Linked DNA regions of Anolis sagrei. The protein of the gene in region 1 purifies or fractionates together with the protein of each later gene. This does not show direct contact. Links are inferred from orthologs where the notes say so. Each region holds a gene or a part of one and is shown on either strand. Other genes may lie near its edges.

Region 1 (15,908 bases):
GATTGTGCAAAGGCCTAATTCAGAACATTCTACAGCTTGTGACCTTTGTGACATATGAAAATTGTACTTGAATGGCAGGTGAGAAAGCTAAAAGCTTGTCATACACCAGGACTAAGCAATAGGAATTTGGGAGTAGGGAGTTGAAGAGAGAGGGTACCAAGGTTGGTTAGTACCAGAAGCAATGCAAATATCCATAATGTCATGTTTTGATTAAAGAACCAATTGCTGTACAGGCAGGCAAATGTAATAGTATAGATATTAACCAATGAACATATTGGCATGTAAAATTTTGAATATAGTCTTTATAAAATAGTGAAACTGGGGTTAATCACATAATCCTGACAACACATGGTGTGTAGCTCTGCTTTTGTTTGTTTGAAAGTGAGGCTGTTATTGAGAGCCAAACTAGGCCTACAAGTGACATCCTGTTCCAATTCCCAAATCTCTATATTTCCCTGTTAGGTTCTGTATATTATCTGTTTTGTATTAGCATATATATATATGACATCTCCTTTTCTATGGTTTAGGTCTCTACAAACTATTAGCTGGATTTGAAGACAAGTCTGCGTATGCTCTCTGCACCTTTGCTTTCAGCACTGGAAATCCAAAGGACAAAGTGAAGCTATTCAAAGGCCAGACTCATGTGCGTACATGTTTTAATACAGCTAAATTGTAAATGGTAAAGCAAAGAAGGCCCATAGTGGGCAAATAAAATTATTAGTTTGACACAGGAGATCACAAAACAAATAGTATGGCGGACAACTAGTTCAGTGAGTTGCATTGCTGGTGCTGTTCCCAGTTTTCAGCCAAACTGTAAAATATGATCTTTTAAAATGTCTTTCACTTATGGAATCTCAGTATTTTTTTTCAATAATGCACTGCAATAGACTACTACCAGTATCTTCTTGGGCAGATGTAGGCAATTCCTTAAAGCCACCTTCCAAGTTTATGGCAGATATGAAAATAATACTTGTAGCTCCTCTTAAGCACTATGCTACATTCAGCTACCCTGTTCATTCGTGGGAGAATCTCTGCCAGCTTGGGAAAGAAGAGTTTTGACATATTTGTTTGACAGACTGTTGAGGGGCTATAGTTTGAAAAAAAAAACCCAATGAATTCCTATGCACTCTGCACATATCTTATTTGTAGTGCAACAAAATCATGAGAGAATATTTAAAATGAAGAACATTTTTAACTAACATAGACTTACCAGTACTACAGTGGGAAGTGTTGGTCTGCTTTTGGCTGATGTGATAGTCAAGTTAGTTAGGATTGTTGTTGTGTGCCTTCCAGTTGTTTCAGACTTAGAGCAAATGACTGCATCTGCCCTGTGGGACTTAGTGGTGGTGGTGATAGTGGTGGTGGTGGTGGGACCTGTTACAGAGGAACCAAAATGATAACCCTGCCATATAAAGGGTAAGAATTTGAGCACAGCAGATCCAGACATATATCAAGGCTGCTGCTTCGTGGTCTGTGAATCACACAATGGATTAATCTGCACCTGCACTGAGCTCCTTTGGAACATTCTAGAATTTAAAGATATGTTTTTGACAGTAACTGCACCCATAAATAGTTGCTTGCTCTCAAAATCCCCAGTGCATTTTGTCCCCCACTACAGTAGCTCCATTGGGAACCTTATACTTGCTTTTGCTTTGTTTTGCTATATTCCACTTTTTCTTGGGGTTTTTTTTGGGGGGGAGCTTTCTCCTATGGTTATTTAATTTGGTTTTTGTTTCTTACGGTTTTTGGCTTCACCTGATCTGTCTGTTTCTATTGCCACTGTTTCCTGCCATGTCTTCCACTACATTGTTAAAGAAATGTGTGGATTGTGAAGGCAAAATGCCTGATATTGATACAGTAAGTGCCTCCTGTGTCTAGGCGAAATGTATGTGGTTCAGTCATGTTCTCATTGCCAGGTTTTCATGACGCTGGCAAGAAAGAACAGAGAGGCCCAGCTAAACACGGTTATCTACTGAAGAGGATTGTTGTTCTAGGCTTCTCTGTACCATGACATTTGGTTCATAATCTGCTCTTCTTATATTTCAAGTGTCCTTATGTATCCACTTTCTTCTTGAGCACACTCTGGTTTGAATTTTGTAGGTGACTTTGAAGGATGCTGATATATGAAAAACTATCCTGTTTTCTCTGCTTATCTGCACCTCATAAATTTTCAGCAATCAAATATAGTTATTTTTGACTTGGTGCCAGGTACCACATGTTAACACAGAACATACAACATTCCTTACCATATGTATCAATTTACAGGGACATATAGTTGATCCAAGAGGACCTAGAGACTTTGGATGGGATCCATGCTTCCAGCCAGAGGGTTATGACAAGACGTAAGTGACTGTTTGCCTACTCACTGCTTTCAACAGACAGAATTGGCTAGTAAGAATATCCTGGCTAGTTTGTGTGCTATAGATTTAAATAAGATGCTAACGGGGTTATGTTAAGTGTGCATATGTATATTGATAGCAGTGAAGTTTTCATGTAGATATATTCCATAGCACTGTAACACTTGTGGAGAACTCACTGTTTAGGCCAGAACTTTCCAAATGGTGTGTTGCATTTGTGTGTCAGCTGCAATGTTTAGATGTGTCATTTATTATTTATTCTATTTACAGTATTTCTATACCACTTTTCTCACCCCTAGGGGGACTCAAAGCGGTTTACACATAACTGGCAAAACTTCAATGCCATACATTGGACACTGACGCGATGCCAATCCATAACAACCACAATAATAAAACCACAATTAAACATAAATAATAATTAGACAGTACATAAGCAATCATTAAAACAATAAATAATAAAAACAGTCTCACCAGTTGTATTGTCATTCTAGTCCATGTCCTTTAAACTCTACAAACATCTACTGTCCGAAGGCCTGGTCTCAAAGCCATGATTTTAATTTCTTTCTGAAAGCCAGGAGGGAGGGAGCAGATCTTACCTCATTTGGGAGTGTGTTCCATAGGGCTCACACCTGGTGTGAGGAACGGCAGGGACCCAGGGCTGTGGTGCATTGATCTGCTGAGCCCTTCAGGCTGTGAGACATCCCTCCCTCGTTCCTGGGTATTTCCATTTGCGTCTTCCCATTCAATTCAACTCAACTCAGCATTTCTTCTCGCCATCTCTCCCAGTCCTACCCTTTCCCTCCAACAGCTGTGGTTTTGCCCACCACGTGTGCTGCCTTTCCTTCAAGGGATACACAACACAGAGTTTTCACAATGGGATAGATTCAGCAAAAGCAGTGCTTCACTCTATAGTATGGATTGCGTGCTTACCCTCCCTCCCTACCTACCCCGCTGTCGGGTTTGCTGAGGAGGGATGACCAAGTCCGGCAAGCTGGAAGTGAGCATCATCGTCTGGCAAAATTTGAACCCACTCCTTGTGGTTCTCCTTTTCACCACTGGGCCTTTTGCCACCCAAGAAACTTGTACAGAGGGGGCTTGCAGCAGGCATATTGGAGGGGGGGGGGGGGTGAATTTCAAGCAAGTGCCAAGTTTGAGGAAGAACACACCTTTCTGGTTTACAAGTAAAACTGAAATAATGTGTCACAAAATGACACTTGTCTAAAAAGTGTGACACCAACATTGAACATTTGGAAGGCTATTGTGGTTTGCAGCTTTAAACACATCATAATTCTGCTATAGAATTACCGGACTGCCCCAGTTTCTGATAAATGTGTTCTCTTCTTATCCTTCCCAGGTATGCTGAATTACCTAAGTCTGTGAAAAACACTATCTCTCATCGTTACAAAGCACTGAAAGAGTTGTCTACATATTTTGCTGAACAGAACAATTCAACAGAGGCCACATCTGGCTTCAGTTAGTCTGCTATAGTCTAGGATGCTGTGTTGTACAAAAATTGGGATTGGAAAATGATATCATGATTTGCTTGTTTGCATAGATCATATACAATAAAACTACTTTTCTTAAAGATCTCTTGGCATATCCTCACAGTTCCTGAAGGAAAGTTCTCCAAACAAATAAAGATTTCAAAGGGTTTCAAGATACATTAGTACTGTTAGCCCGACTTATCCACAGATTCTGTATACATAGATCCAGTCATCCATGGCTTCAAAATATTCCCTCTCCTCAAAACAAATTCCTGGTGTTTGTCATGACTCTTGTCAGCATAGCAGGCATTATGTTGGCCATTTCTTCCTGGATGTTGGTCTCCAAATCTTGTAGGGTTCTTGGACGGTTCACATAAACAGGGCATTTCAAAATATCCCATAGAAAAAAATCACAAGGGGCCAAATCTGGAGAGTGGGCCGGCCACTCCAAATCTGCTCGAAAAATTGGCCTCAACAGCAAAAGCACAATCATCACTGTTCCAATGCATTATGGCGACTGAACTGTCAGGACAAAACTTTATACTCCTGCCTCTCAAACGAGACCACTAGCGCTCCGCTACGTCTTCAACCGACTGAATGGCGCGCATTTTAAAAAAGGAAGTTATGTTGCCTCACCCTGTATTTCAAAATGGAGGCGCTCTTTTCAACTGGGAGTGAATTCCTGACCTGAGAATAGCAGAGGAGCATACATGTAATAAGACAAATTTCATTGCGCCGGGGGGGGGGGGGGGGGGAGAAACGAAAGGTGAGGAAGATGAATTACAAGCTCTTGTCTCTTATGATTCTAAAATAAACACAAAAGTTTGCATTTTGAGCCCAAAGGGTGTGGAATGGCTGTTGAGGATTCCTGTTGATCCCCAAGTGAGTTTAACCTGGGTTAACCCAGAACAGCCCTGTGTGGCATTTATCCACCATGGGGTTGATTGCACCTCAAACTGACCTAAGTCGTTAGTGTAGATATGCCCAAAGAAGTATCAAAGCCCAGTAAAGTAAAAGACAAAGATCCTCTAGTTGCCAGACCTCCTTTGTCCAATTTTAATCCTGCTTTTCATATGATTGCTACAATAGTAAGAACAAGAGTGATGATTTAGCAATGAGTGTTTTGTTAACGCTACTCAGCAGAAATTAATTAATTAATTAATTAGCTGTATTTATATTCCGCCCTTCTCACCACGCAGGGGGCTCAGAGCCGATTACAATGTATGCATATATGGCAAACATTCAATGCCAAAGACACACAACAGATATAGACAGACAGTCAGAGGCTATTTAACTTTTTCTGGCCGCCAGGGGAACTGTCGCTTTCATCTTCCATCTGCGACACTGATGAAGTACTTCCATATTCCCCGCATGCTTGCTGGAGTCTTTTTATGGCCTCATAAATTAGTTAAATTAGCCTCCCCACACAAAGGTGGTACCTAATTTTCCTACTTGACAGATGCAACTGTCTTTTGGGTTGCAAAGGTCGACAACAAGGTACATAATTGGTTGGAAACTCACTCCGACCCAGGCTGGCTTCGAACTTATGACCTTTTGGTCAGAAGTGATCTTAATGCAGCTGACACTCAGCCAGCTGCGCCACAGTCCCGGAACTGAGAGTTCCATGGAAAGTTACCAATTCCTTTAAAAATAATGTTACAATCTCTGATTATAGTTACTTTCTCTATGGCTAATGTCATGTGACCCAAGTTTATTGCTGCTGTCATAAAACAGCTCTGTATGTTGATGGCATTTTAATCTTCCTTAAAAATCCTGAAATGTCCCCTTCTCAATTTTGAAACAGGCCATGAATCACATAGACATATATTCAGGCATCCAAAGTAATTACTGTACCTGAATGTTCCACCTCCATAATAAAAATGCTGGCAATTCCTCACTAACGTACCATTTCATCCCATTTGGAGTTTCCAAGTCATGGCATAACAATTATTATTCTTATTATGAAAGGCAGATCTGAATGGACTCCATGTTCAATTTTATATTGCCACTACCTTTAATCCTACGTCTTGTCTTTCAATTGTTAGATGTGTAATGTAATTTTTGTAATGTCATTATTCAAATTTTATAGCAATGTCTTTATTATTACAGCATTGCATCTTTGCTGTTATTTGTTGGAAACCCCCCCCCCCCCGAGTCTGAGATAGGGCGGGTGTAAACAAAAGTAGGGCAAACACTTCTGTCGCGAGGCAGGATGGATCTTGTTTTTCTTATCTCACCTCTGCCTCCAATTATAAACTTATAATAATAATATGAGGAGCCCAAGATAGAGATGATGCGTGTTGCTGAGACTTTGTTTATATATATATATATATATATATATATATATATATATATATATATAAATAAATAAAAAGTGGGGTTTATATGAGAGAGATGACTTCTAGGACACCTGTTTGTGTCACTTTAATATGTGTATCCCAGTGCCATAAAACTGTCTTCGGTTCCACAAGATCTCATCTTCTCTTTCCTGGAGAAACTTCTCTTTAATAAGTAGTCACAAACACTCAGTATTTTGAACTGATCAGAAACAACATTTATTTAAAGGTTTCTCAGGTTCACATAAGCTTGACGGTTTTTTAAAAAACTGTTTTTTAACTGTTGGTTCTTCGGAGAACATGAAACTGTTACTATTAAATTTTTAACAATGGCTTATCTTCTCTCTCCTTAATGTTTGTTATTTCTTTTCTTTGAAACTTAGTTTCTTTTCTCAGTCCCACTTTTATTGCTTCAGGCTTGACACTGAAGTCATAAATAAAACTACCTGGAATCCCTTTCTTCTAGCAACCCAGCTAGATTATACTACAGACTTAAATATTTCTACCCTTACTTACTCAACACTGAAGATTAAACACTTGGCTCACTACCTGTAGCCACCTATTCCTTCTGACTACCTGTCAGAGACTTAAACTACTTGGTCTAGCTCCACACAACTACAACCAACCATCCTTTGGTTCATCTGGGCACCAACTGACTCTTTTCAAGTTGTGTTCTTTCAAACAGTGGCAGTTAGCTCCGCCGCTTTCTCTTCTGCCTTGAGGACTATGTCGCTATGGCAATGCCTTAGCTCAGGCTACCCATCAGCTGCACCTATATCATAATATCAATAAACATATGTAAAACCTCCATTTTTAATTAGACATTTCATTACAGCGGGATATAAATAAAGTCGAAGGCTTTCATGGCCAGAATCACTGGATTGTTGTAGGTTTTTTCGGGCTATATGGCCATGTTCTAGAGGCATTCTCTCCTGATATTTCGCCTGCATCTATGGCAAGCATCTTCAGAGATAGTGAAGTCTGTTGGAAGTAGGAAAATAGGTTTATATATCTGAGGAATGACCAGGGTGGGACAAAGAACTCTTGTCTGTTGGAGCTTGGTGTGAATGTTTCAACTGACTACCTTGATTAGAATTTGATGGCCTGGCAGTATTAAAAAAACTCTAAAATTACAACAGCAAAACAACAGAGAGGAAACAATCAGGCACACCTAATCACCTCTCAACAAAAGATTACCCCAGGCACTAACAAGCCACACCAAACAACTGCCAGACCATCAAAAGTGAAGCTACCTATCCGACCGCATCTCTGCCTATGAACCCACCAGGACTTTGAGATCTTCCGGGGAGGCCCTGCTCTCGATCCCGCCTGCTTCTCAATCACGGCTGGCGGGGACGAGAGATAGGGCCTTCTCGGTAGTGGCTCCTCGGCTATGGAACGCCCTTCCTACGGACATTAGACTAGCACCATCTCTAATGGTATTCCGCAAAAAAGTGAAGACCTGGCTGTTTGAGCAGGCGTTCGAATAATTAGTGCAATGATTGGTTAATGAACACTGGAATGGAACAATGGATGACGAATCTGGAACATGTTTTTGATTATGAGACGACAGTGAATGGGTATTGTAGTAACTGTTTATTAATTGTGTAATGTGTTAGATTGTTAACTGTTTTTATACTGTAGCACTGAATTTTTGCTGTTCGTATTTGTTGTGAACCGCTGTGAGTCGCCTTTGGGCTGAGAACAGCGGTATATAAGTAAGGTAGGTAAATAAATAAATAAATATAAACCCCTTTTTCCCAGCTCCAGCAGACCTCACCTCTGAGGATGCCTGCCATAGATGCAGGCGAAATGTTAGGAGAAATGCCTCTAGAACATGGCCATATAGCCCGAAAAAATCCACAAGAATTGAGAAATAAATAAATGCTAATCAAGGTGGTGAGTTGAAACATTCACACCTAGCTCCAACTAACAAGAGTCCTTTGTCCCACCTTGGTCACTCCACAGATATATAAACCCTTTTTCCTAGGTCCAACAGACCTCACTACCTCTGAGGATGCTTGCCATAGATGCAGGCGAAACGTCAGGAGAGAATGCCTCTAGACCATGGCCATATAGCCCGAAATAACCTACAACAACCCAAAGTTTACTATTGTTATGATACGTCCTGTGCATAAACTAAAAATATAAGGTGATAATATCCAGCCTTTATCTGAATGAACATCCTGTTGATTGGAGCCTATTCTGTTTTGCCATACTATGCCCTGATAGTGGCTACTTTGTTCAGAGCCTGATTTACACATCAAAGTAATCAAATGTTGTGGTACTCCCATTTGTTTTAGAACAGCCCAAAGGTTTGCATGGTTTCCCTCGTTTTCTCCAGCTCAATGTGATGAAGTCCTTACTTTGCTTCAGGGCGAAAAGCCTTCGCAGGACGATACTCCCAGGCGGAGAGTCAGAGGTGGAGCGAGAGGGCCCACCGTGGCCTGCTTTGGGGCGACTCCAAGCGCTTGCCCCAGGCTTCTCCGGCACGAGGCCTCGCAGAGAGGCCGCGGGGTCACAGAAACGCCCTTTAAAGCTCCCAACGCTTTCCCGCCTTTCTTGGGAAAGGAAAGACTCCGTCGCGCGCGCCCCCCTCCAGGCAAAGCGCGAGGAACCGGAAGTCGCGCGAGCAGGGCTTCTAGGGACGCTTTCGGCAACTGAGAGAGCCGCTGACGTCACCCCGTCTCCTCAGTCATTTCCGTGCCGGTCCGGAACAGGAAGTCAGTGAAGAAGAGCGGGGTTTTCTGGGAAGAAGCCTATGCGCTCCTGAGAGGCCTGGCTCCGTCGTATGTGTGAGGGGATGGAAGTCGTCGGATAAGGTGAGGAACAAGGGTGAGGGAGAGGGAGGCAGAAGGCCGGGGTGGCCAACGAGGGAGAGCTCCCCCCGAAGGCGGGCCTGTGGGAAGGGGGCGTCGGGTGAGAGGAAGCCCTCCCACACAGACATACTGCAAGCGACTGTGGGACCCTTGGCCAATGGAGGGCTGGCCCTTTGGAAGGGCGAGGGAGGCTCAGGGCGGTTTCCAAAGGCAGCCATAGGAACAAAAGAGACAAACAAGCAGTTAAAACGCACAGTTACAAATAAAAAACAATAAACCATGTAATCGAGCGACCCCGTAAATAACACCACAGGCTGATGATGATGATAATAATAATAATAATAATAAAACTTTATTTGTATCATCTCCCCAAGGGACTTGGTGCGGCCAAGCCCACGATACATCAATAAACAAAACATCAATAAAACAATCAAAACAATTCATATTTTTTATTTGTCGTGTCAGGGCAACCAGTCAATTATTATTTATTTATTTATTTATTTATTTATTTGCTTCACTTTTATACCGCATATTTCAGCCCTTGACGGGCGACTCAATGCGGTTTACAGTGCACTTAAAAACACAGCAATACAACAACCGGGACGACAATGTTGCTCCACAACAATTAACATCAGACAGACAAATCTACAAACAACATATATAGCGCCTCCGTTAAAGTCAGATCCATTCTCATAGTCATTGTGCCGTTCCTATGTTCAGTTACCGTCTTCCTTAGTTAGTTGCATTGCCTAGCCAAACGCTTGTTCGTAAAGCCAGGTCTTGACCATTCTCCGAAACGCCAGCAACGAAGGTGCCTGTCTGATGTCTGTTGGTAAGGCATTCCATAGCCGAGGGGCCACCACTGAGAAGGCCCTGTCTCTCGTCCCCGCCAAGCGCGCCTGTGACGCAGGCGGGATCGAGAGCAGGGCCTCCCCAGACGATCTCAATGTTCTAGTCGGTTCGTAGGCGGAAATGCGTTCGGAGAGGTAAGCGGGGCCAGAACCGTTTAGGGCTTTATAGGCCAAGGCCAGCACCTTGAATTGAGCCCGGTAGCGGATTGGCAGCCAGTGGAGCTGGCTCAGCAGAGGAGTGGTGTGCTCCCTGAGTGCCGCTCCTGTTAGCAACCTGGCTGCCGAGCGCTGGACCATCTGAAGCTTCCGGGCCGTTTTCAAGGGCAACCCCACGTAGAGCGCGTTGCAGTAATCAATCCGGGATGTGACCAGAGCGTGGACCACCATGGCCAAGTCCGACTTCCCAAGGTACGGGCGCAGCTGGCGCACAAGTTTGAGTTGTGCAAATGCTCCCCTGGACCCGAGACCTGGGGTTCCAAGCTTAGCGAGGAGTCCAGGATCACACCCAAGCTGCGAACCTGCGTCTTCAGGGGGAGTGTAACCCCGTCCAACACAGGCTGTAACCCTATACCCTGTTCGGCCTTCCGACTGACCAGGAGTGCCTCTGTCTTATCTGGATTCAATTTCAATTTGTTCACCCTCATCCAGTCCGATACAGCGGCCAAGCAACGGTTCAGGACCTGAACAGCCTCCTTAGTAGTAGGTGGGAAGGAGTGACAGAGTTGGACGTCATCTGCGTACAGATAACACCGCACTCCGAAACTCCGGATGATCTCTCCCAACGGCTTCATGTAGATGTTAAATAACATGGGGGACAATATTGAGCCCTGCGGAACCCCACAAGTCAATGGTTGTGGGGTAGAGCAATTGTCCCCCAGCAACACCTTCTGAGTACGATCCTCTAGGAAGGACCTGAGCCACTGCAGAGCAGTGCCACCAAGGCCCATTCCCGCAAGGCGTCTCAGAAGGATACCGTGGTCGACGGTATCGAAGGCCGCTGAGAGGTCCAGCAGAACTAACAGGGACACACTCCCCCTGTCTAGCTCCCTGCGCAGATCATCCACCAAGGCGACCAAGGCTGTCTCGGTACCATGTCCCGGCCTGAAACCAGACTGTGCCGGATCTAGATAATCAGTGTCTACCAAGAATGCCTGGAGTTTACATTTACATTACATTTCTAACAGTACAAAGCAAAGAAACAGTCAAAATACAAAATTTGTGAGTTTGGTAGTTGGTTAAATGTCCTTTGACCAGTATCTGGCCACTGGGAGTGCTTCTGGTGTTGCCGCAAGAAGGTCCTCCATTGTGCATGTGGCAGGGCTCAGGTTGCATTGCAGCAGGTGGTCAGTAGTTTGCTCCTCTCCGCACTCGCATGTCAAGGATTCCACTTTGTAGCCCCATTTCTGAAGGTTGGCTCTGCATCTCGTGGTGCCAGAGCGCAGTCCGTTCAGCGCCTTCCAAGTCGCCCAGTCCTCATTTGGTATCAGCCATTGGTTGAGGTTCTGGGTTTGAGCCTGCCACTTTTGGACTCTCGCTTGCTGAGGTGCTCCAGCGAGTGTCTCTGTAGATCTTAGAAAACTATTTCTAGATTTAAGTCGTTGACATGCTGGCTGATACTCAAACAGGGGATGAGCTGGAGATGTCTCTGCCTTGGTCCTTTCACTATTGGCTGCTACTTCCCGGCGGATGTCAGGTGGTGCAATACCAGCTAGGCAGTGTAATTTCTCCAGTGGTGTAGGGCGCAGACACCCTGTGATAATGCAGCATGTCTCATTAAGAGCCACATCTACTGTTTTAGTGTGGTGAGATGTGTTCCACATTGGGCATGCGTACTCAGCAGCAGAGTAGCACAGTGCAAGGGCCAATGGACAGACCAAATGTAATAAATTAAAATTAAAAAATAATACTGATGTGAACAAGGTAGGATATAACTGGGATAGGATTTTCAGAGAGAAATGAGGGAACACGTCAGTCCTAAATCAGTGGTAAAGTGCATTTTGAGGGCATATTACTGAGAGTTTTCCTTATTCTGGGAAGGCACATCTGTATACAATAACTTGGCTATCCAGTATGTTAAGGAAATATGATCATCATCGTCAGACAAGATACAAACAAAAAAGAGCTAATAATCTTCCTCTCCAAAGGCTAATGTGCAAATGTATGTTTTAAAGTGATTATTGAAGGAGAGGAGTGAAGAGGTTCTGATTTCCATAGGGATGGAGTTCCAGCGGGAGGAACGAGCACAAAGAAGGCCCTCTCATGTTCCCACCAACCACACTTGAGACAGGGTGGGACTGAGAGTAGGGCCCCCTCCAATGACCACAGTGTCCATGTTGGTTTATATGTAGGAATGCGATTAATTAACTAGCCTGGACCAGAACCATCTAAACTGTTTATCCCACAGCTGAGCAGTTCATTCTGTCAAGAGGTTCATCCCATTGTTTAGGTACAGGGTGAGGCAGCATAACTTCCTTTTTTCAAAACTTAATAAAACCAATTGTATGAATCAGAAAAAAATTATAATATAGGTGCATACCTAATGTTTTGTTTTATGTAGTTTGAATGTTTGCCATATATGTGTATACTGTAATCCGCCCTGAGTCCCCTGCAGGGTGAGAAGGGCGGAATATAAAAACTGTAAATAAATAATAAATAAATTTTGAAGATCAAATTAGGTAGGTGACATCCCCCATTCTCCATACACTGAGTAAACCGATTTCTGGCATTTGTCTTGACTCTTGCCAGCATAGCAGGCGTTATGTTGGCAATTTCTTCCTGGATGTTGGTCTTCAAATCTAGTAGGGTCCTTGGATGGTTCACATAAACACGGGATTTCAAAACACCCCATAGAAAAAAAAATCACAAGGGGCCAAATCTGGAGAGCGGGCCAGCCACTCCAGATCCACTTGAAAAGTAGGCCTCAACAACAAAAGCACGCTCCTCACTGTTCCAACGCATGATGGCGACTGAACTGTGTCAGGACAAAACTTTATACTCCCGTCTCTCGAACGAGATCACTAGTGCTCCGCTACGTGAATGGCTCGCATTTTAAAAAAAAGGAAGTTATACTGCCTCACCCTGTATGTAGGAATGTGATTAATTAACTAGCCTGGACCAGAACCATCTAAACTGCTTATCCCATTGTTTGTCTCCAAAGAGTACTATTATGCTGGTCTGTGAAATCTTTGCTATGAGAAATCATTTAAAATGTGAATGTCAGAGAAAACATGTAAAAATTCTTATGAGTAAAGTCTGTATGTTTTTGAATATCTGTTCTTGAGCAGCATCTGAGATAATTGAACATATGAGTTGGCTGATCTGATCCAAAAAACTGGACTTGCTGCCTTCAGTAGAGTTTTGAATTTTCTGGTAGTGTGGAAGAACAGGAGAAACTAGAGTAGTATTAAAATGACCTTTTCCACCTCCATGTCAGAATGGCCCTGATTAAAAAGGAATTACTATCCATTATCTTGCTTGTGAAAAAGAATCTTTAAGAAATCTTTTAAAAACTCCCTCTGCTTGTCATATACCCAGTAGTTATATTAGTAAGATATTTAAAAGTTTGCCCTTTGGTTAGAAGCTTTTTGCATACAAGTGGTAAGCTTAAAGATGTTGACAGGATTTAAAAAGAAAACATTAAATCATCTTTATCATATGTCTCGAAGAGAATAATCTCCTTAAAAGATATTATTTGTCTTGAACATTATTGATCCATTATACTTAAACACGAAAGATCATATTCTATTGATGCTGTTTTAAAAAGCATGTAAGATTCCATGCTTAGTTAATCACTTTATATAGGAAAACTGTGACCACATTGTAAGTTTTACAGTTTGGCTGAGAATTGAACCCTAACTAAATGAGTACTGTAATTTTGCTTTTCTCCTTCTTTTCCTAGGCAGTTTTCCATTTCTCGTTTTGGGCAGCTAAGAGCAACACTTGTATAAAAACATGCCTCCAAAATTCAAGCGGCACCTCAATGATGATGATGTTACTGGGTCAGTAAAAAGTGAGAGGGTGAGTACATAAGGGTAATAGGATTCTTTTTACATTCACATTTAAAATGTAGACATATCAGTGTCCAGGAATTACAGAACTAGCCCATTTGAAGGGCCTCCATAAATTATCAATCACACCCCAAGAATAAAGCAGAGCTTTCCAAACATTTCATGGTGATGTCACACTGGTTAGACACACATATTTTCATGACACAGTAATTATGTTTTACTTGCAAACTGGAGGTTAAACCAACCCCTTATAGGAGATGTAGACACAAAAATAAATTGTAATAATGAAATATATGGGGACACAACATATCTCACAAAAACCTTTCATTTCCATTTTTAAAATATCAGATTTGTAAGCTAATCACATACATTTCCAAGATTTTTGTCATTTTTCCTTACTTTCATGCAACACACCTACACATTGCAGCTGGCACACTTTACATGTTGCAGTACACAGTTTGGAAAGCTCTGCTCTAAAGAATGGTCCACAGTCATCCTGTCTTGTTGATTAGGTTATGGTCTACTTAGTCATGGTCTACTTAGTATCTGGAGCCCCAGGAGACTGTCTAGTATTGCTATTTAAATTGACATGTATTTCTTAAGGAAACAGCAGAAACTAATAAAATAATTTTACTATGTCTATTTGAATCATGAATTTCAGTAATCAAGGTAAACTGCTACAGTGGTTTATAGTCTGCATAAACAGAAAGAAACAGTTTGAGGGTATAGATCTGTTAGTGACATTATGCTCAGTTTCTTGAAAGTTTTAAGATGAAATATATGTCAGGGAACCATAGATTTATTTTTCTGTAAAAAGTGGGAGAAAGTAGACATTTATTTGTTGTTTGAGATCTACCAATTTTGTGTATTTTACAGAGAAACCTCCTTGAGGAAGATTCTGATGAAGAGGAGGACTTTTTTTTGTAAGTATAGGTTCTGGCATGCTTGGGGCGAGAAGTGTTTCATAATTTTATATTAGGGTGGGGAGGGCTGGAATGCCTGTTTTCCAAAATACCCATATTCCTTCCGCCATTTAATATATCACCCATCTCTGTCCAGCCTTGCATCTTGTTTATTTGCTTGTGTTGTCTCTGAGAAGGGGGCTGCTGTGAGGGATCATTGCAGGGAATGCCACATGATCAACATGGCAGAGGCTGCCTATAGGGTTGCAGTAGAGGGAGAGAAGAAGAAGAAGGGAGGAAGACAGAAAGGAAAGAGAGAGGAGGGTAAGAGTAAGAGAGAGGTTTGAAGAGAGAAAGAAAAACAGGCCAACATGATGTTTCTCACTTCCCAACATGAGAGAAAGAAGAAATGGGAATAAAAAGAGAGCTCCACCTCACCTCACTGGAACACTCACCACCACCACCCCTCTTGCCACCTGCCTTGCCTGTCCCTGCCAATAATAACGAGTAGGAAGGGAGTAGGGGAAAATGGGGGCATGACCTTTCACAAATACGTGCCTTCTTTCATTTTACAAATCAGTCTCTCATCTCATTGTAGAGAGAGAGAGATAGACTAAGGATCTGAGATATGAACAAGCAGAAGAGCTGCAGCTGTTGTCCCAAAGGCAAAAACATGGGGCTGGTAGCAAAAAGTTTTCACTTTTAGAGATTTGTGGATTTCTGGATACAGAGCCTCAATCTGAATCTCCCAGGGCTGGAGAAGGGTCAACCGAACAACCTGTTCATTGGAATGGCGATTAGATTTTCTGAACCTGGCATTGAATCCTGGGGATTATTTGGTGTTGTTACTGCCCAGTTAACATTATTTAATATCAGGATTTTGTCTCCATAATTATGTGGAGCACTGAATGATTCACTTGGAGCTCTTTCCAGCATCTATTGTGAACATTAAAGTTTAAAGATTCCACATTTTATTCTCCTTACTGTAGCCTCAAGAGAAATGTTTGTTATGCTGCCCTATATAAGGTACCAATGTGATGTCCTTTAATAGTCCCTCTCTTAATCAGGCACCAGGATTTCAAGAGCCTGCTTCTTACCTAGCTATGTGGCTTGCTGCTTGTCCATTAGCATAGATAAGTAGCTGTTGTCCAC
Region 2 (16,066 bases), on another chromosome or scaffold:
GGAAAACAGCTGGTTATATTCTTGCTCATCCACCCACGCTCCAAAAACATAGAAATGTGAGGGGGAGGGGGTTGCAAGGCTTGCGAGATGTGTTTTGGAGAAGAGTTTTGATTATTGCATGGTAGGAACAGAATTCTGACCTCTGCAATTACCAGAAAACATAAGCTGTGATGGCGTCATAATTCATTGAGAGGAAATCAGCCATTGTCTTAGAATCATCAAATTTCAATTGTTTTTACCAGCTACAATAGACCCACCAAATCAATAGCTGAATAGTAATTCAACATTGACAGAAATCCCAAAGGATCAATTGATATTCACTAGCTTTGACGAGCAAGTCAATAGTTATTTCCCAATGTCTTCCATATATTAACACAGATCCACGCCGTACATGAAACCCTCAACAGATTACTGTATCATGCAAGTTAACAAATTTAGAAAGGGGAAGGATTCTAAACAACTTTATACCAGTATCTGAATATTTCTCTTGAGAAAATGTCTCTAATTTCAGAATTTATTCACCTTTTACTCGAGTTATCATATTTTAAAAGTTAGGTGTGTTAAATCTAACTTTTAAATGAAGTGTACTGCTCTTGAGCTGTCATTTATTATGTTGTCTTATGGAACTTTATTTTATTATTTAGTGCTAATCTTTTGTTAGCTGCCCTGGACTTGAGAAGTAACAGCTGGTATTCAACTATAGTAGAGAAAAAAACAGACAAAACAAAAAGTATGCCTAAATCCTTTTGTTATTACCAACTAAAGTAGAAACCATGGACAAATGGGATTTACCTATAGGCAGACTCATTGTTAAAAAGTTGATTAAATGGATCTAGTGTTCAACTTAACTAATAGGATTCAGGCAAAACTGTGAAAGGGAAAAAGGTAGTAAAATGCCAGTAACCAAGAAATATTCCTAAAACAATTATGTTTTTGAGGATAGAAGTTATATTGTGACTCCCCACTGTGACAATCATGCACTGTTTAGTACTGTGCAAGACTTTGTATTAAGTATGTCTGCATAAGTTAAGTCATCTAGACCCATACCAACTTTAATCAATGAACATGACCCTGCAGATCAGCCATATGCTGCACAAGTCACTGTAATAAAGGATCTTCCTCAGATGGTTTTTATTACTCTTTTTGACCCCAAATGTGTTTATTTTATATATATAACATTCTCAGGCTATACAGGGTAATATCAGGTATGGCCAAGTTTCTCAGAGTGTCTCAACCCACATAGCACCAAGCTGGCAAATCCTCATATTGTGGTTTTAAAATGTGGGGTTGAGGAGCAAAGATTTTTCCCTAACTTCAGAAGACGCAATCAGTTATCCAAGCTCAGTCTGTACAATGTGACAAACAAACACAGGCCATCTGGGATCCAACACATGCTCATCTGCCTACCTTTAATTTTCATTGCCTGCAATCTCTTGCTACAATAGTGAATCTGGGCCTACAATGACCGTCAAAAGTAGGGGTGGAATGCAGGGATATATTATGCATTGGAGAAATGAGCATAAAGCTTAGAATGCTTTCTATGACAAAGTGACAAAGAGCACATTTTTAAGACATAGAAGAACAAAAAGACCCATAGAACAGAGAAACAAGGAAATGGAGCGACAAACATAGAAATGGGCCTGTGGGCAGTGTGCCAAGGATGAAAACAATTTCCCCATTTTTAGGGGCAACAAGTGATGAAAGCTGACTCTGGAGACCATGGCTCAATTCCCCACTTGGCCATGGAAACCCACAGATGAACTTGAGCAAGTCACTCAGCCTGAGGAAACTCTATAATAGCATTGCCTTGGGGTCTCCACAATTTGGAAACTATTTAAAGATGCACAACAACTCATACATAGCAGAACTCCCCCAAAACCCCACAGCCCACAAACAAATTAGATGGCCACTGGGAATTGCTAGGCCATTTCTTGCCCCAAAACCATCACAACAGCTTCCCAATCACTCCCACTCATGTGGTTTGCATTCTTTCCCCACAACACCTCAGAAAACTGCTGACATGCTGCCAACATACCAAAGTGGCCCACAGGGAGAAACTACCCCTATCCAGGTGCAATACCAGAGAAGCTTTCTCAACCTAGAACTCTTAGGTTGTTTTAGTCAGGTCAGAGATCAGGCTTCTTTTACATGCTAGCATGTTAGAGGAGACCCCAGACCACTACGACCAACTTGCCACATTATATTGACTCCTGCCCTTCCTAGCTTACTAAAAGATGCTAGGAGAGACTGGCAAAGTGGGTAGAGGGAATGGCCAATTATTCACTAAAACAAGGAAGATTATATTTCCTTTGAAAACCCAGATTCACAGCTTGGGTTTACTCCTAAATTCAACCTTGGGTCTGGAATCAAGTGACATTGGTGGCCGGGAAGACATTTAGCTACACGTATTCATAGAGACATGTGACAAATAAGTATACTATTATACTGCTTGCTTTTTTCATAGTCATACTTTCAAATGATTTTAAAACTATTGATTGTTTAATTATATTCTCAACTGTATGCAATTTTAATTTGTATTTCTTTATATACTTATTCATATATTTGTCACTGTCCACCTTCTAACTTTTGTAAGACACTTTGAGTTCCTGGAGAATAGGATAAATAATAATAGCACTAATTCAACTCCCAATAGCCTTAGTTACTGTGACAGAAAATATGGGAGTTGCTGTGATAAACATGTAGGTTTGGGAAAGCATGTACTGTGGAATGCAGGAAAAAAATCTCTTATATCAGTCTTTAGCCATCTATTCCTACTGTCTTTTCTTAATATCTTCTCCAGTCAGTTTCTATTGTCTCTCTCTTCTGTGGACACTTCCTGACTTTCAAGAGTTTCCTTCCAATAATCTTAATAAAAGTCGGGACATCAGCAGCACTTCTTAGAGAAGTCAAACTTGGCTATGGTGTCATATGCCTTAATTACATCTGCTATAACAGGTCCAAGATACAGCAAATAGGTGAAGCTAGTAACAGTGAACATGTAACACTTGTTGAAATAGATTTTATTGCCCTATATAAATTTGCCAGAGTCTTTCCACAGAGAAGGATATTTTTTCCAGTCCTGCAACCATCACATATTCATTTGGTAAAAACATGGGATATAGCTTTCTCAGTGATTGTTACTGCATTTTTCTGGAATTCCTTTCTGTTCATTTCAAAGGTAGACAACTGACCTTTTATTCAAACAGGAACTAGGTTGTGTTAATTGATTGGAAGAAGTCTCTTTTATGGGAGGGGTATTCAGCATTATTAATAGTATTGTTCATTTAAAATTATTGTACACTTTAAAAATTTTAATGGTGTTCCAATCTGATCACCTGCTTAATTGTGTTGAAACTTTTTAATACTGATTTCTAGCCTTTATCTTGTGTCAGTTGTTTTGTACATTGTCTTGGGTTCCATGTTAGCCAAAAGACAGCATACAGATAAAATTCAGTAGACAATGAGCCATTAAAACATTCTCCCAGTTGATTATATGTAGTAGCATGTCACCATTTCCATCTGTGTTGTCCAACAGCAACTGAGAGACCACAGCTTACCAGCTCTCTTGCTTCTTCCAGCTGCTTCTCCACATTTGAAACCATTTGCCTCTTCTCATCTAAGAATAATAAAAAAGAACAAGTGAAAATCTGGTGAAAATCAACTTCTACTATAAATATTTCACATAACTTCAGGGAAAATTAAGGGTTTCACCAGCAATTTATAATTTAGTCTGTATATTGCATTGCTTGAAGAACATGTTAAAGGAATGGCTCTTGTGGGTACATGTGCAGTGTAGGGTGGGGGAAGTTTTATACCAGTATTCATATTTTTGGAACTCAGTTTTACAGTAGTGCAAAAGGGGCCTTTAAATTTGGATAGAAAAAAAGGAGGTGATAAGACACACAAGTACACCAGGAAACAAAGCCAGAAGGGATGAAGACAAGTTATTCTAAGTCCCTATGAACTTTTCAGAAGGTGGAGGCTAGCAATCCTATTCATCTCTTTGTAAGTGTGTAAATTAAATACAGGTCACAAACAGGATAGGTTCTGTAGGTTTGTTCTTAAGTTGAATTTGCATCTAAGTCAGAACAGGTACATTTTAAGTATAACTCCAGATACACATACACACATACTCTTTGGATAGCATGAGGAAGAGTTAATGCCCCTGTGGTGTTTGTTCTGCTGTCTCTGATCCTGTTTAGAAGATTTTACCTCACTTCTTGTCTGTGTGAGACTTTGATTTTGAACATTTTGGCTGGTTGTGGAAACAAGGTTTGGTGATAAATCTCCAGTGGAGACATCTTTTCCTCGTGACCACTCTTTCAGGAGTGAATTTCCCTTCCTGGAGATAGATTTCTCTGGCTTCCTTGCTTCCTGTTGTCTCACTACCATTCTTAACAATGAAGCAGTCACTTGTAAATCGGATGTTTGTAGCTTGGAGACTCCCTGTGTACTACTTAGGGTGAATCTACACTATAGAGATAATCCATTTGACCCTACTTTCACTGCCATGGCTTCACGCTGTGGACTCATGAAAGCTGTAGTTTTCCATGGCAGCCTTCTCTGCTAAAGAGTGATGGTGCCTTACCAGACTACAAATCACACACTTCCATAGCATGGAGCCATGGGAGTCAAAGTGCTATCATACTTCATCTATTACTGTATGCAAACCAGGTTTGTGAACTCCGGGTAAACCATGATCCATTTCTGTGTCCTGAATTGCAATGGAGGTCCCAATCAGTTTTTTGGGAGCCTCCCGAATTTGGGAGGACAGATATCCGTTTTCAATTTGGGAAGCTGAAATATTCATTTCCTATCCGGTCCATTGGTCGCAATGGGGGGGGGGGGACTTCTCACAGGCTCCCCTTCCTGTCATTTTAAGCATTGTGTTTGTCCTTATATTCTTCATTAAGACCTGGATTTAAAGCATCAAAATTAAAATACCATTCTTTCTATAATCCTTGCCCTTCTGTCTGCAGAGGAGACAGGATTAATGCTTTGTTAAGGCTGTTTTTTCTCTAGAGGAGACATGGACTGCAGGTTCATGCTCTCGCACTCTCTGCAGTAGGTAGTTTTCCAAGGCATTTTCAGTAGGCTTCCCATTTCCCAGGGAAGGAAAAGGGATTGACCTGGAGGCATCCTACCCTGGGCTTCCTTTAAAAAGCCCTCTCTTCTCTCTTGATTTGAAGGTGCTGGAGTGGAAAGGAGAACTAACGTGCCTTCCCCCCCCCCCCCTCACACTTCAATCTCCTTTCTGCTTACAAATCAAGAAAGGGCTTAAGGAGCCTCACTTGTTTGAATCCTTTTCCTTCTAGTGGCTGCCTACCTCCCTGCACTATATGTGTAACCGAAAGAAGTCAGTTTTCAACAGCCACTGTTTTGTTGTGACCAGTAAAAAAATGGTGGCAGAGTCCATGCCACTATGGGCTTCCAAACCAACTGAACAAGCCAAAGGCAAACATCCATAACCCTAATGCACACCCTTTAATGTATTTCCCAGCTCAGGAGGCTCTGAAGCCACACATTTCCTTGGGGAGGGAGATGGGAGGAGGATTGGCTCACAGAGTAAATCATTCACACGGTACTCACACCCTCACCACACCTTCAGAGTGAAAGAGAGGCAAACAGGTCAAGATCCCACCACATGGGATTCCCCAAGGTAAAGGAGGCACATGTTGTGCCCATCTGAACCTGGAAACTGCCCCCCCCCCCTTCACAAGAAGCACATGTTTTAGGAGACATAACTGGCCTGCATAGTCAACAAACAGTCTGGGTTCAAGTGCAATAGAGAGCGGTGGCGTCAATAACAGTCCAAAGTTCTTCACAACAATCAAGGCCCAAGTTGGTTGGGTTGAGGCAAAAAAGTAGTTAAGCAGTCCGTTTTCAAGCACTAAGCTAGTTATACAAGAGAGATTCCTTAGGTGCTGCTCTGGCAGCGGTGGAAAGAAAGATCTGCAGTCTTTTCCACACTTATTTGGGAAGAAACCCAACTGAGTTCAGCGGGATTTCCCACTCAGGATGAATTTCCCCGCTTTCAGGTGGGTGCATTCAACATTAAATGAAAACTTTATTCCAGTGGGGGGAAATGGTGTTGTTTCAAGGTACTTCTGCTTCAAAGTGGATGAGTAGACTCCAAAACTGGGACTCAACCACAAAGAAGCCGTGACATACATACACACACAGTGAGCAGCATTAATAAAGTTTAGCACCACTTAACAGCCTTGACTTAACACTTAACAGGGAGGCCCTGCCTTCTTCACAGGTGCAACTGGCGGTGATGAGAGACAGGTCCTTCTCAGTGGTGGCCCCTCAGTTGTGGAATGCCCTCCCTAGGGATATTAGATCAGCCCCCTCCTTCCTGACCTTCCGTAGAAAAGTGAAAACATGACTTTTTGAGCCAGCCTTTGAGAACCTAGTGAAATAGATAAATACAGAATTATGTAAAATCCTATACTGGAACAGCTTAGACAATGATTTTGGACAATGAGGCTAATTGTGAAGGTAGTGGCTTTATATGATTTTTAAGGTTTTTATGTATGTATTTTATAATGCTATTTAAATGTTTATTGTAATTTTTACACTGTTTTAATGGCATTGAAGCTGCCTATATTGTAAAGTTGCCTTGAGTCACCTTCGGGTTTGAGAAAGGCGGGCTAGAAATATAGCGTAAAAAATTAATTAATTAATTAATTAGTCCCAAATGCACTTTAGTAGAGATCTAGGATCGTCTGCATGCCCCATCTATCTTCAAAATACCTATCCTATTTCACCTGGTCACCTGGTCATGCCCAGTATTTTTTAACAATTTTAATTATTACACTTGGCCCTATCATAGGTTCTTTTAATGTGTCGTGGTGTTATTGTTAATGTTTACTGCTTGTTTACGAGTTTATTGATGTATTGTTGTTTTACTGATGTATTTGGGCTCAGCCTCTTGTAAGCCGCACCGAGTCCTTCGGGAGATGGTAGCGGGGTACAAATAAAGGTTTATTATTATTATTATTATTTTGTCGTGTCAGGAGCAACCGCTCCTGTTGTGACAGAATTGGCCGTCTGCAAGGACGTTGGATGATTTTTGATGTTTTATCATCCTTGTGGGAGGCTTCTCTCATGTCCCCGCATGAGGAGCTGGAGCTAATAGAGGGAGCTCATCTGCCTCTCCCTGTCGGTCTTCAGTCCTGCCGGCACAGTGCTTTAACCCACTGCGCCACCGGGGGCTCCTATTATTATTATTATTAACAGCCTTGATTCAATTATATGAAATCTTAACAGCTGTACTTAACCACAAAGAAGTCCTGACATATATACACACGCACAGAGAGAGAGAGAGAGAGAGCAACATTAATGAAGTTTAGCACCACTTAACAGCCTTGGTTCAATGCTATGAAATCTAAAGAACTATACTTTTACGAGGCCTTTGCCCTTCTCTGCCAAGGAATGGAGGTGCCTCACCAAACTACAACTCCCAGGAGGCCACAGCATTGAGCCATGACTGTTAAAGGGGTGTCAAAGGCCCTGCCAAAGCAAGGGGCGAGAGGAAAGGCAGAGGGGCCGGGAAGGAGCCCCCCTCGGCCCCAGGACTCACCTCCCAGCAACTTGGGCACCTTCCCGATGCGGTTTGTGATCTCAGCGCTGAGCACCGAGAAGTCCTGCTCGTAGCCCTCGAAGTCTGAGGACATGGCGGCCAAGGAAGGACAGGCCTCGGCGGCTAGATGGGCGGAAGGGAGGCAACAGAAGCCCACAGGTAGCCCGCCTCGGAATTGGGGGTGCTCACGACCCGCGCCCCCCCGGATAACGCAAACTCAACTTCGCCGCTGCTCCTGTCAGGGCTGTACTTCCGGGTTGAGCGTCACCAACAACAGTCCCCTGAGGAACCTCATCTCGCAACCAAGGTTCCGGGTGCTCGTCCCAATGGGAATGGAGGGCAACTAGAGTCCATCATGGATGATGATGATGATGATGATGATTATTATTATTATTATTATTATTATTATTATTATTATTATTATTATTATTATTATAATATCTGGAGGCATGCCTTTTAGACTTTGTTTCATGCACAAAAACATTTCAAAGACTGCATATACATAGTCCATATCAGACTATGTGCATAAGATGTACATCATACCTGAATAAATTACACCAGGTAACAAAATTCGGGGGGGGGGATATTTTCCTGGTTTGAAAATGTTATTTCCTGTTTAATTGTGCAGTGCTTACTCTAAAAGTAGTTGTTCTACTCCAGAAACTACATTTTTATGGCTTTTTTTGGTCATGTCAGGAGTGACGAGAAACTGCAAGTCGCTTCTGGCGTGGCTGCACAAACTATGTTGAATTGGCTGAGACTCTATTCATTGAAAAACTATAGCAAAATATGCTGCAGGATGTTGCACAAAAGCAAAGCTTAATTTTTTTAAAAAAAATCCCATGTTTTTATGATAGCCCCAATTAGGAAATGACATTGATAACACAGGAACAAAAATGTTATGACTTGGGTCCCACCTCCAAGATGTCTCATTATGTAGAGGCAAAATATTCCAAAATCCGGGGGGGGGGGGGAGGAAATCCACACGTAAGAGAGACATTAGGGTGCATCTACACTGTAGGGGCCTCCTCGTGGTGCAGCAGCTTAAACTGCTGAGCTACTGACTCAGCAGTTTAACTGACTAATGTAATGCAAATGTAAGTAAATCAATAGGTACTGCTTCTGCAGGAAGGTAACAGTTTTCCATGCAGTCATGCTGGCCACATGACTTTGGAGGTGTCTACAGACAACACTGGCTCTTCGGCTTAAAAATGATCTAAAGATTGATCTTTTAAAAAACTGCATGACTTCTCAGAGTGCCCATGAGCACATTTCCTCAGAAAATATTAAGCCAGGTCGGCCCCAACCCTCCTAACATTTCGAAAAAAAGTTTAAACCTGGCTTTTTGAGCAAGCTTTCCCAAATGCAGTGTAGCAGACAAACTCTGATCTTCGGAACGACTGGACAATGTGATTGGGTAATGAATTGAGTAATGAGACGCTGTGGATTTAGACTTCTATCAGTTTCATTATATTTTGTCAAATGTTATTTATGCTAAATGTTTTAATTGTTCTTTGTTATTGTGGGCAGCAAATTGTACTGTTTGTAAACCTCCCTGAATCGCCTTCAGGCTGAGAAAGGCAGTATATCAATATTTATTTATTTGTTTGTTTACAGTATTTATATTACGCCCATCTCACCCCGGAGGAGACTCAGGGCAGATTACAATGTACACATATATGGCATACATTCAATGCCAAAGATGCACAACAGATATAGACAAACAGTCAGAGGCTATTTAACTTTTTCTGGCCGCCAGGGGAGCTGTTGCTTTCATCGTCCATCTGCAACGCTGATTAAGTACTTCCGCATTCCCCGCATGCTTTTGCTGGAGTCTTTTTTATGGCCTCGTAAATTTTGTTAAATTTTTGGGGGCCCGGTGGCGCAGTGGGTTAAAGCACTGAGCTGCTGAGCTTGTTGACCAAAAGGTCGCAGGTTCGATTCCAGGGAGCGGCGTGAGCTTCCGCTGTCAGCCCTAGCTTCTGCCAACCTAGCAGTTCGAAAACATGCAAATGTGTGTAGATCAATAGGTACCGCTCCGGCGGGAAGGTAACAGCGCTCCATGTGGTCATGCTGGCCACATGACCTTGGAGGTGTCTATGGACAACGCTGGCTCTTCGGCTTGGAAACGGAGATGAGCACCACACCCCAGAGTCAGACATGACTGGACTTAATGTCAGGGGACAACCTTTTTAACCTAAATTTTGTTAAATTAACCTCCCCACACATAGGTGCTACCTACTTTTCCTACTTGGCAGATACAACTGTCTTTCGGGTTGCAAAGGTCGACAACAAGCTACACAACTGGTCGGAAGCTCACTCCGATTTGGGCTGGCTTCGAACTCATGACCTTGTGGTCAGAAGAGACAGCCCCGATGGTTAATAAATAATAAATAATAATAGTCAGGCACAACTAGACTTAATGTCAGGGGAAAACCTTTATCTTTACCATACAGTGTAGAATGAATGCAGTTTTGGCACCTCTTTAACTGCCATGGCTGAATTCTATGGAATCATTGGATTTTCACAATGTTTTGAGCCTCTTCCGCCAAAATGTGCTGGTGCTTCACCAAAATACACGATTCTCTAGCATTGAGCTAAAGTGGGATCAAACTGCACTGATTCTTCTGATGGCTTTGCGTGCTGAGAGGTAAGAGGAGGGACTCATTTGCGGGCGGACTTGCCAGGCTGTTGAGGGCGAGGCGAAGTCGGGGCGGAAGTGAAGGGTTTTGCGCATCCGGGCTCCCAGACAAGGTGCCCGGAGGCGGGGAAGTGGGCGAAAGGAGCGAGGGCGGGCGCGCCAAACAGAAACATAACGGAGCCAGAGGCTGCAGAGGAGGCGGGAGTCCCGGGCCCTGTCCTGGTAAGGGGTCACGAGGCGGGTGAGAGGGGTGCGGGACCTCCCTGGCTCTGCTTGGGAGCCTCTGCTTCATCTCCTGGGTCCAAAAGCAGGAAGGAGGAGGGAGTGGCTGGTGGCCATTGCCTCCAGGCTTCTTTCTCACACCTCTGGCTTTGCCTTGGCCATCCCTCCTTCTCCCTCTCCTTCTTTTCAGGGGATTGCTCTCCATCACAGCTCTGCACATTTAAGAGTCATCAAATCTCCAGAGAGAGAGAGAGAGAATGTCATATGTTAATAAAACCAGAGTGCATTAATATAACTTATGATATAGCACAATATCTTATGTAATACTAATAGTATAATATACTGGTAGTGTAATTGTGGTATAATAATATGGTAAGGGTAAAGGTAAAGGTAGTCCCCTAACATTAAGTCCAGTCATGTCTGACTCTGGGGGTTGGTGCTCATCTCAATTTCTAAGCCGAAGAGCCAGCGCTGTCCGTAGACACCTCCAAGGTCATGTGGCCGGCATGACTGCATGGAGCACCGTTACCTTCCCGCCGGAGCGGTACCTATTGATCTACTCACATTTGCATGTTTTCGAACTGCTAGGTTGGCAGAAGCTAGGGCTGACAGCGGAAGCTCATGCCGCTCCCCGGAATTGAACCTGCGACCTTTCGATCAACAAGCTCAGCAGCTCAGTGCTTTAACCCACTGAGCCACCGGGGGCCCTAATAATATGGTAGAATCTATATAAATAAAAATGTAATGTACGTTTGTGGGATTAACTCTATATAAATAAAAATGTAATGTACGTTTGTGGGATTAACATAACTCAAAAACCACTAGACAGATTGACACCAAATTTGGACACAATACACCTATCAGGCCAACGAGTGGCCATCACTCATAAAACACTGAAAAACACAGCAGAAGAGACTTAAAAGCTAAAAAATACATTACAATGCACGCGCATAACCCACATATATACACAAATATACACACACATATATATACACATATACACAGACTAGGCCACAGCAACACATTGCAAGGGGCGTCTAGTAAAATAATATAATTGTATATTATATATTACATGTAAAATTACTAATAATATTGTAGTATAATGGTGGGGGCCCCCGGTGACACAGTGGGTTAAACCGCTGAGCTGCGAAACTTAGAATCATAGAATCAAAGAGTTGGAAGAGACCTCATGGGCCATCCAGTCCAACCCCCTGCCAAGAAGCAGGAATATTGACCAAAGGGTCACAGGTTGGAATCCAGGGAGTGGCGTGAGCTTCCGTTGTCAGCACCCAGCTTCTGTCAACCTAGCAGTTCGAAAACATGCAAATGTAAGTAGATCAATAAGTACCGCTCCGGTGGGTGGGAAGGTAATTGCACTACTTGCAGTCATGCCGGCCAGATGACCTAGGAGGTGTCTACGGACAATGGCGGATCTTCGCCTTAGAAATGGAGATGAGCTCCGATCCCCAGAGTCGGACACAACTGAACTTAATGTCCTTTACCTTTTGTTGTTGTTCATTCGTTCAGTCACTTCCGACTCTTCATGACCTCGTGGTCCAGCCCACGCCAGAGCTCCCTGTTGGCCGTCACCACCTCCAGCTCCTTCAAGGTCAAGCCAGTCACTTCAAGGATACCATCCATCCATCTTGCCCTTGGTCGGCCCCTCTTCCTTTTTCCTTCCTTTTTCCCCAGCATAATTGTCTTCTCTAAGCTTTCCTGTCTTATTATGTGGCCAAAATACTTCATCTTTGTCTCTAATGGGTATCACTTCAGCGGGAAGGTAACAGCACTCCATGCAGACATGCCAGCCACATGACCTAGGAGTTGTCTACAGACAACGTCGGCTACCTTCTTTGCCTTCGTCTCTTTACTACAGAAAAATACCAAATGTGTCATCAAATTGCTAACAAAAAAGATACAAAAAGCCTCGTGAACATAATTTTCAGTGAAATTGGAGAATGGTAGCATTAACTATCACGAAATCATGATCTAAGTTTATTTAATGCTTTAAATACATTTACCACTTGTATTTAGAGTTCTATAGCAGTTATTATTATGCTTGCCTCACTTAGAAAGCATGGGACTCACAAGAAAGCGTCATACATTCCTTAGTTGATAACTCATGAATTTCCCATGGTATCTTCATATTAATCATATTATTTTTTAACAATTTCTTGGTGATTTGTTCCTTAGTACTTAAACTGTCCTTTTAATGATGATGATGATGATGATATGTTTATTCTTGTATCCCACCACCATCTCTCCAAAGGTACTCGGGGTGGCTTACACATGGCAAAAGGTGCCTAAAACAGAGCATAAAATGTAACACAAAGTTAGATGCCTGCCAGATTTTGGCAGTTATTTTTAGGATAATCATGTAATCATTGCCCATTTTTATCTGGGACCCCAAAAGTAAGATTTCCCAGCTCTTTCCTCTTCTGATTGTCCAATAGAGTTCACACACCCTGTAATGTAGGAAGAAAAAGAACCAGATAATTCTAGATAATTGCCTTTTTTATTTGTAGAAAGTTGGGAGCTTGTAGTCCTCACATAAAGAAGTTATTTCTTCTTGTCTTGCAAGTTTAAGCGTTGATTCTTCATTATGTGTACAGTTTTAGACATGCAGGTAGGGTGTGGTTAACACCGTCAAATTTTCCCCATCATGTTTTTGAGCTCTTCTCTAAAATGAAGCTGGCACATCAAAATTAAGAACCAGCACAGTACAGTCATGACAGTTTTGGAGAGACCTGGTTTGAAGTGACTTCAGACAATTCCCATTCTCTGAGCTACAAAGGAAGGCATGGGCAAACCTCTGAATACATCTTCCCAAGGAATCCCATGGCATTACTTGAAGGAACACAACAATAAGCAAAACTGCAATATCTTCCATCCAAACTAGTAGCTGTTGTATTGCCAAATGGAAGAGAATGACAAAACTCAGTGCTGCAAACTAGCATTGGCCTTAGGGGAGAATAAGGCATTGGTCTCCTTAAAGGAAAATATTTCCCCTGACATTAAATCTAGTTGTGTCCAACTCAGGGTTGTGGTGCTCATCTCCATTTCTAAGCCGAAGAGCCGGCATTGTCCATAGACACCTCCAAGCTCATGTGGCCAGCATGACTGCATGGTGCACTGTTATCTTCCCACAGAAGTGGTACTTATTGATCTAATCACATTTGCATGTTTTTGAACTGTTAGGTTGGCAGAAGCTGGGCCTAACAGTGGGAACTCACCCCACTCCCTGGATTGGAACCGCTGACCTTTTGGTCAGCAAGTTCAGCAGCTCAGTGGTTTAACCCTCTGTGCCACCAGGGGCCCTATGTTATGTTAAATGTTATGTCTCCTTAGGTAAAGGTAAATGTTTTCCCCTCACTTTAAGTCCAGTCTTGCCTGACTCTGGGGGTAGGGGCTCATCTCCATTCCTAATAAAAGAGCCGGTGTTGTCGATAGACACCTCCAAGGTCATGTGGCTAGCATGTCTGAATGGAGCGCCATTACCTTCCCGCCTGAGCAGTACTCATTGATCTGCTCACATTTGCATGTTTTCGAACTGCTGGTTTGGCAGAAGCTGGAGCTGACATCGGAAGCTCACGCCGCTCCCTGGATTTGAACCTGTGAACTTATGTCTCCTTATGTTATGTTAAACGATTAGGCAAAAGTGATGGTCTTTGGTTCGTAGTAGACGTAGTTAGAATATAGCTTCTGTCCTGCATGTATCCTCCCTCTCATTTTGAGGAAAGTGTGTATTGCTTCTTCTAGAACCCTCCAACAATAGCAATTCAATCTTTATATCAGACTTTCTCAAACTCTGCTCCTCCAGATGTATTGGACTTCAGCTCTCACAGTTCCTAACAGCTGGTAAGCTGGCTGGGATTTCTGGGAGCTGAAATCCAAAACACCTGGAGGAGCAGAGTTTGAGAAACACTGCTTTAAATGCATCACAGTGTCCTTTTATACCATTTAACATAAAGAAACACCCATTTAATTTGGTCATTTGGAGGCAGTTGATACATCCTGTGCATAAAATTGGCTCACCCTGCTTTAGACTGAGTACAGTGTGAGAAAAGAAGTACGGGTAATGCCTACAAAGTTACATACTATTTTTTGTCACTTGTGTGTGTAACCAATAGGCCTGGGTAACAACGGAAAAATTTGTTTCTAAAATCGATTTGTATTTGGGGGGGTTTTTTGTTTCGATATTTAAAATAATTACAAAATTTTCCCTTAAAAAAGTTCGGTATTTACAAAATTTCGTAAATGTGAAAAAATTTACAAAACATTAACGAATCGATTTCCGAAACAATAACGAATCGATTCGTTAATGGCGGACGCGACCGCGAAATACGCTAAAAAACCTCCAAAAACTTCTGAAGCTTCCCTCTCCCTCTGTTGTTGACTGTTGGTGTGATATTATAATTTTTTTTCACTAATTAAACAAAAAACTTGCCCCAGACATGCGGAAATAATAACGAAACGACCTCAGAACAATAACGAAACGAATACAATAACGAAATACGAAGCATTTACAAAACGTGTTTAAAAATTCGTTTTTTAAAAAAATTGCTCCAGAATGGTTCGTTATCATTTTGTAATTGAAAAAAATAACGAATTATTAATGAATTACGAATTAACGAAACGAAACCGCCCAGCCCTAGTAACCAAGGCTATTCTGACATCAGCTTTTAAAAAGGAAGTACTATATTGTGAAATCCTGAAGCAGAGGGTAAACTCTTCCATCCTCATGAAAGATCTGGGATTTGAGGGCAGGATTTCAACCCTCAGTATTCAATCCAATTGATTTCCCTTGGTCCAGCACTCAGAAACTTAGATCTTCACATGTTAGTGCATCACTTATGGAATTTATTTTTTTAAATGTGGTAAAGAAAATACTTTTCCCCAGCTTTGTTAAGAATCACCACTTTGTACAATGCTCACTGTCATTTTTGCACTGTGCTAACTGCTTCTCTTCTGAAGGCAGGCAATTTTCCTTCATTCCTGTATAACAGTGGTTCTCAACCTGGGTCCCCAGATGTTTTTGGCCTACAACCTTTGGCCATAAATCCCAGCCAGTTTACCAGCTGTTAGGATTTCTGGGAGTTGAAGGCCAAAAACATCTGGGGACCCCAAGTTGAGATCCACTGCTGTATAAGGTTCTATGATCCAAGCATACCTGAACTAGAAATCTAGAAATACGAGTAGTGTTCCTTAGCCTTTTTTTTTTTTTGACGGATTATAAGTTGTCAAAACACAAGACTGCATTCGTTTCCATGTTGTGACAACAGACTTTTCATTTGCAAACACAAGCAACTGAGCAAGATTTGAGATGTATATATTTAAAAGAACACTTATGAATGTTTAATAAAAGACTTCTGTATAATTTCTCTATATCGAAGAAACTATTATAGTGGGTTCTTTGTATCCATTGTAGTTTGGTTCAAGGGCGCTCTGTAGATACCAAAAGCTGTTATGCACAATGGCAAAGTGATATGATGTCCCTTATATAAAATGGCAAAATCAAGATTTGCTTTTGGAATATATATTGGTGGATGGTTGAATCCATGGATACAGAATCTGTAGATATGGAGAGCCAATTGTATTCCTGAATGGACTGTTGTTTT

What was found.
Region 2: the proteins of VAMP4 (region 1) and VTI1A purify together in Homo sapiens (affinity purification with mass spectrometry; 4 studies listed by BioGRID and IntAct, counting the BioPlex papers as one, with this or other methods). This does not show direct contact. The link is inferred for Anolis sagrei from reciprocal best matches to the Homo sapiens genes VAMP4 and VTI1A.

What each region holds. Positions count from the first base shown.
Region 1 is NC_090024.1:130,541,267-130,557,174, forward strand, and holds the start of VAMP4 (vesicle-associated membrane protein 4), read left to right. Parts: upstream 1-8,875; 5' UTR 8,876-8,999; intron 9,000-13,745; 5' UTR 13,746-13,798; coding exon 13,799-13,864; intron 13,865-14,730; coding exon 14,731-14,777; intron 14,778-15,908. Other genes in the region: ITPA (inosine triphosphate pyrophosphatase), read left to right, coding at 528-643, 2,266-2,342, 3,712-3,835. UniProt on the Homo sapiens protein: Involved in the pathway that functions to remove an inhibitor (probably synaptotagmin-4) of calcium-triggered exocytosis during the maturation of secretory granules.
Region 2 is NC_090023.1:208,320,485-208,336,550, forward strand, and holds the start of VTI1A (vesicle transport through interaction with t-SNAREs homolog 1A), read right to left. Parts: upstream 7,853-16,066; 5' UTR 7,680-7,852; coding exon 7,586-7,679; intron 3,617-7,585; coding exon 3,558-3,616; intron 1-3,557. UniProt on the Homo sapiens protein: V-SNARE that mediates vesicle transport pathways through interactions with t-SNAREs on the target membrane. These interactions are proposed to mediate aspects of the specificity of vesicle trafficking and to promote fusion of the lipid bilayers.